2 linked regions of the Oryza sativa Japonica Group genome follow. The protein of the gene in region 2 binds, or shares a complex with, the protein of the main gene of each other region. Links are inferred from orthologs where the notes say so. Each region holds a gene or a part of one and is shown on either strand. Other genes may lie near its edges.

What was found. The genes of interacting proteins can lie anywhere in the genome.
Region 1: small ribosomal subunit protein cS23 (region 2) and 30S ribosomal protein S31, chloroplastic share a complex: the UniProt entries of both Arabidopsis thaliana proteins name them as parts of the 30S ribosomal subunit. The link is inferred for Oryza sativa Japonica Group from reciprocal best matches to the Arabidopsis thaliana genes PSRP3/1 and PSRP4.

What each region holds. Positions count from the first base shown.
Region 1 is NC_089039.1:5,295,858-5,298,912, forward strand, and holds 30S ribosomal protein S31, chloroplastic, read right to left. Parts: upstream 1,673-3,055; 5' UTR 1,627-1,672; coding exon 1,443-1,626; intron 1,225-1,442; coding exon 1,160-1,224; intron 1,076-1,159; coding exon 908-1,075; 3' UTR 517-907; downstream 1-516. Other genes in the region: pseudo histidine-containing phosphotransfer protein 2, read right to left, coding at 2,481-2,531, 2,639-2,711, 2,810-2,881.
Region 2 is NC_089038.1:23,520,433-23,523,698, reverse strand, and holds small ribosomal subunit protein cS23, read right to left. Parts: upstream 2,122-3,266; 5' UTR 2,070-2,121; coding exon 1,800-2,069; intron 956-1,799; coding exon 674-955; 3' UTR 512-673; downstream 1-511. Other genes in the region: transcription factor MYB106, read right to left, coding at 3,089-3,266. UniProt on the Arabidopsis thaliana protein: Component of the chloroplast ribosome (chloro-ribosome), a dedicated translation machinery responsible for the synthesis of chloroplast genome-encoded proteins, including proteins of the transcription and translation machinery and components of the photosynthetic apparatus.

The DNA.
Region 1 (3,055 bases), on a different chromosome or scaffold from region 2:
GGTGTGAACTTATCAAATGTTAGGACTGTGGGAAAATGTTTGGTTTGTTACTTCACCAAATTTTTGAACAGATGGCGGGTTTGTTTCGTACGTTACCAAATTTTGGTAAGGTAGGGATACTCGAACATATTTGGTTCGTTATCTTACCAAAATTTGTGATGGCTTGAAATGGTAGCAAACAAAACATGCTTCAGGGTTTAGGGTTCTTAAAGCCATTGCGTAGCAGGGTTTACACTTCCAGTTTGGGCCAAAATTGTAGTATATTTCGGGCGAGATAGTTGCTTACCCTTGTGGGCGGGGGGAGCAGCTCACAACAAACTTGCAGACGAAACAACAAAAAATGACAGAATTTTAACATACAATTACCACCAAGCTGACCAGTTGAACTGGTTTGTTGTCCAGCTTTAAAGGAATATGTTTTGCAGATCATCAAAACAATTTCTTGTGTCAAAACTCAAGCGCATAACAGAGTCAACAGACAAAACAACAAAAAAGGGGCAGATTTCTGACCCGATCTGATGGACTGGTTTATTAGTTGATTCTTAAGAACTGCTTCCCAGATCATCACAACAAATTCGAAGCATGTCAAAAGGTGCTTGAATTCAGGGACACAGCTAGAAAAGAAAAAAAAAAGAGATACTGCATCTTCCCTGGTTTCTAGCAAGAACATGAAAGTTTGGTGATTGTATCTGTACTTATGTTCTGCTTCAGCTGGTAATGCATAAAAAATGACTCTAAGCAGCACCATTCATATATATTACAAGGAAAGAAATCATAGGCATCTACATTATGTAGAATGAGACCATGTAATGTACTGTAATTAATTTCAAGAAACAGTGTTTGGTACAGACTAGACAAAAGGTAAGCTCAAGGTAAACCATAATTCAAGGGGGGAAATTCAGACAACCTATTCCAGGATGTCATCGTCGATGTCGATCGGGGTGACCTCGCCGTCGTCGAACTGGTCCTTCCTCGGAGGCGCAGGCGGCGCGAACAGCCGTGCAGGGCCAGTTCCCTTCTTCTTGTTGCGCGGCCTCGCCTGAGATGAGCAAACAGCAGTCAGCAGATGGCAAGTCTGAAGAATTGCAGCAAACAGCAGCACAGGAAGCAATAAGCATATGATTTTTTTATTAATTTTATTTTTGTGCTAGAGACTCACATTTCCGTACGAGTGGTTGAACCTTTTTCCCCTCTTGGTCTTCTTGTCCCCTCTCCCGCAGTAAACTGGTCACACCAAATGGAGTAATTTGAGTTGGAATCGTAATTGGTTCAAACTGCGAGGTTTTTGTTTCAATCTATGTTTTGGTGCTGTATCAATTGAATTCGTGCAATACGATTTGAAAAGCAGTTTCATATAAGATCATCGAGCCAATTTCACACCAGACTAATCCGAATTGACGAACAAAACAGAGACAGGGAGGTTAGGTAGGCATGTCAGTTACCTTCAAGAACTGGAGTGAGCGGGGCCGAGAGGGTGGCGGCGGCGGCGGCGGCGACGCGAGAGCGGGAGCGGGAGAATGCGGCGGCGGCGGGGAGCGCGCAGTAGGAGGAGACGGCGGCGTGGTGGTGGGAGGAGGGGAAGGTGGCCGGGGACGCGGCCATGGCGTGGACGGCGAGGAGCGCCATGGAAGCGAGAGAGGAGTGAGAGCTTGAGGAATGGATGGAATCGGATAAGCTGTGCGTGCATCGGAGTAGATAAAACGGAGGGAAAGGGAAGCCCAGGCCCATGGATTGGGCTTTGTCTCTTGGGCCTATGGACCAAGCCCATGATTGGCTTGGCCCTCTGCAATTCTGATGTTTCTCTTTCTTTTTTTTTTGTCCTCTCATTTCTTTTTCTATAGATAATCATTTTTTTATGATTAAATTATTACTACTAGTATAAAACTTATGAAGAATATAGCAAAGTTATGATATTTTTAGGACTTCTGAAGACAAATCTAGCCATAACGTTTTTAAGATTTTAGAAATCGAAACGTTCAAAATGATATTGATGGTTAAAGCTCAAACACTGTTATGAATATTAGTGGAAGAGATGAAAAACCAGTGTTTTTAAGTGTCTTTGGTTCTGGGAATGTGACTATAGCGTTTGTTGAGTATACAAAGTACAAACAAATAGTTTTCCATGATGGCACCTGGGCAATTAATTAACCCAAAAAACTAGTTTACATATTACTAGTTTCAAACATTAAAAGCTCATATTAGTACCATGACACTTTCTGCTACAATTACTGACTAATAACACAAGTTCATGGCACTTTGTAGACAGGCAAGGAGAGTGTGCATAAGCAGGGCTTTACATAACTTCATACAGTATATATGGATTATGGAGCTACAGATGCAATCCAAACACAACAAAAAGGCACCATTAAGCATTATGAGTATCTGATTGGCACAAAAACTTTTCAGCGACAGAATTTTCAAGAGACTGATAGCTGCTATGTATATGTTCTTTATTTTCCTTGGAACTCATACTGTTCTTCTTACTTCCTTGAGCTCACTGCATAATCACGGGGACCAACTTGCCTCAGTAACTGCATCAGCAGAAGGAACAGGAGATAACCAAGTTGTTTAGCCATGTAGCAATGCTGAAAATAAGGTAAACAGAAAGAGAGAGAGACAAGGATGTAGTACAACATACCTGAAAATATGATTCCAGCTTCTGCTTCAGAGTGGCATGCTCCCTCTTCATCTTCTGAAGAGACCTGCGGCATCTGAAAGAGAACATGGCCTCATCACATCATGTGAGGAAATTGCATGATGATTGGATAGTATGTGAAGAACAAGTTGGACGAGTCAATGAAATGCATACCCTTCCAGATTCCTGTCATTGCAGTTTACTTTGAACACAGAGCACTCATTCTTCATCCTCAGTGCACCAATGCTGCGCCAAACACAGGCCAACTTTAGCGAATTTTGAACACATAAAGCAGGCAAAGATGACAAGCTTTCGGTGAGAACATTCATATTAACAAATAATATTTGTTCATTTCACATCAATAAGCATTCTTAAGTTTGAATGTTTTTATATTGGTTATTTAAGACCTAAGACATGATT
Region 2 (3,266 bases):
CAACTCCAACCCAACGCCTCCATGTGCCTTGCCCCTCCTCCCCCCTTGGCCGAGATGATGATAAGCTGCTACGCCTTGCTCAGTTGCTCCCATGCCTTTTGAACGCTTTTGAGACCGTGACCAAGCTGGCGCGGCGCTGCATGCGGCGTGAGAACGAGCGTCGCAGCACGACGCGCGGGCACCACGACGACTCCACGAGTCCACGAGCGTTTTCACGCTCGTTTCGCACAGGCTCACGCGTTGCCGCAGCCCGTTTTGCAGAGGCCTACGCGTGGACGGCCTAGGCTCGTGGTGCGCGGAGCGGGCCGGGCTTTTTCAGGGCATCACCGGTGTTAGTTAATCGCAGTAGAAGGGGTATATGCCCCCGTGACCCCAAATCTCTTCGAAAGAAAAGAAATTCCCCTTTTTCTTCAAGTTCAAAATATCGAGTTACATTTATTTAACTGGATCATGGTATAGTAGTATCAAGAGGTATTAGCAATCTTCCCTGCGGATGATGGAGCCCAAATCGTTTACCTTACAGAGATCAATCACAATTCATTTCCATAAACAAAACCGTATCCGAAAACAGTTTGAATCGATCTACAGGGTCATGTAACAACAAAGATCCGTGTAACCAAAGCAAGAAAAAAAGAAACAAGGTTCTCAAGGATGGGAGAATTGAGATATCCTCTTAGGTTGACAAGCTGCCACCACCCTGTTGCCAAAGGTTGATGATATCAGTGGCCTGATTCAGAAGGATGATCATCTGTTTCTGAGAGATCCACTCTTTCTCCTCCAGCTTTGCTCTTAGCTCCTCCCAGGCATCTTTCCGTGGCCAGAAGTAGTATGGGCTTAACGGAATGCTGCCATAGCCGGGAACCAACTGGTCGAGGGCTATGCCAATGTTCTTCTCCATCCATATGAACTTCAGAACAAGCATTGGATCCTGCCTTTCAGGCACCTTAACCTTGTACTGCGATACAAAATCAATTCGTTTCAAATCTCATAATGCTAATACTGATTTTGCATATCTGAGTAAAATAAATTGTGCAGTTTTAACACAGCTCAAGTCGTAGTAAAATAAATTGCAACAACTACTGTACGTGTTCCATTGACAACTTCATTTCTCTACAAAAGGCCCCATTTTTCAACTGTGAGGGTAACTCCCATATAATCAAAACTAATCCACTTTTAGTGTACATCTCTGAAATCTGATATAGTGATGAAAAAGGAACTTATTGTGCCTGTTAATGTTGTTACATAATCACGTAAATAGCTGAATGAAAAAAAACTCCTTTCATGACCAAAACCTGTCAATGCTACAGTTTGTTCAATAGTTCAGTTCTTGCTTACACATACAACCAAAAATGGCACACGCTCAAGTTTGTGGACATGCTTTCATGTGCTCTTCGCCTCTTCATCACTAGCATACACCTTTTATCTGCAGAAGTGCAAAACTGCACCAAAAGGACAGCCCGAGTGCCCAAACATGCTCAACTAGACTAGAACTTCTCTAATTTACTCTACTTGTGACTTCTCTTAAGCTTTCAGCTGTGCATTGTGTCTAAAGATTTACTCTACTCGTGAATTCACCCAAATGTACACCTCGTACTGTATTTCACCTATGAGCTCAAGTAATCAGTTCGGTAACCAAAATTGATTCAAGAAAAATCAAATTCATGCGAAACCAAATGTGATTGAACTCCATCCTCTTCAAAAAACAACACTTCCTTCTGAAATTGAGCTCGACTCGGTAAAAAAAAAAACCCCGTAATTTCAGTCACTGGCATGGTTTGGAGCGGCTACTAGCCCATTACCTCCTGCGCTTCCTCGCCGGCGCTCGCATCCCCACCTCCGACTTGCTTCTCCTCTTCTCCCTCCTCCGCTTCGACGGCGCCAGAAGCGGCGGCGGCGGCGAGGCCACGGAGCGAGCGAAGGGGAAGCCTCCTGCTGCCGAGGTGGACGAGGCGTGGAGTGGAGGAGGAGGAGGTGGTGCAGGGGGAGGCGGCGGAAAGCTTGGGCCGGGAGATGCGGGCGCGCGAGGCGAGGGCCGGCGTGGCGGCGGGGTGGACGGACATCGCCAGCATCGTGTCCGAGTCCGAGGCTCCTGTGCGGATAAGAGGAGGAAGACGATGGTGCGGGGCTGCCTCCTCTTATCTTTACCCTTAATAATCCCCTTCTCGTCAGCTATTAGATGTGGGCTAGAAAGTTATGGTAAAGCCCAATATGGCCCAGCACAAAACGGCCCGGCCCAGATCCAATCTAAGTAAAAAGCTCACAGCTCAATCGTCTCGGTTATTCGAGAATAAACGAAATGGCATATTTGTAAATAAAAAATAATTTGTGAATAAATCTTTTATATATATATTTTTAACGATCTAAAAGCAAAGACTGAAAAATAAACCTTCGATAAAAAAAATAAAATCAACCCCAAATTTAAAGGTAAAAATTTAAATTTTGACTGATAAACATAAGTATAAGCGAAAAGATGAGGCCGTCCGTTTGCCTTCAGCAGGGTTTGCAAAACCGTCTGTAACCGTGCGATTACCGCGCTTACCGTGGGGTACGGTAAAAGGGAAACCGCGGTAACCCCCTTAAATTCAAATAAATTTAAAAAATAATTTTAAATTTTGATAAATTTTACACGGTTACCGTGTGGTAACCCCGGTCCGGTGGTTTGGGAAACCCTGGCCTTCAGTAGTGCTAGTGCCCAGTTGCCAACCGCTTGGGCGTAGTAAAAACTGATAGTGGAATGAAATGAACCGGGTACAAAGTACTGAAATGATCGTAAGTTTTGAAAAAAAACAAGCAGGAGTAGTAACTTTGCAAGTAAGGATGCTACATTCTCTGATAGTAGTTTCAGTGTTTTACACATTCTATAAGAACACCGAACAAAACAAGCATCGAATTTCAAATGTCGATACAGCCTTGAACAGTTGAAGTTCTTGCCCACAAGTTTAATCGAAAGCATTGTCAGGTTAACCCAAGAACGTGATTAATAATTACTAACATTAATATTAGTCCCATCTTATTCGACAATCATTGCTAAACTATTTACTGTGTCATGAGATCGAATCAAGTTTGATGCCGGCGAGGTTTTCTCCGCTCAGAAGTCCGGCGCCGGCGAGTACGCGTGGGAGGCGGGCACAACCACGGCCGTCGACATAGGTGCCGACGAGGAGTTCACCAGGTTCAGTATGCTGTTCCAGTAGTTCTTCTCCTCCTCGGTCTCCTGGAACTCGCCGTCGGCTTCCGCGTCTCTCCCCGCCGGCCTCGGGATCTGG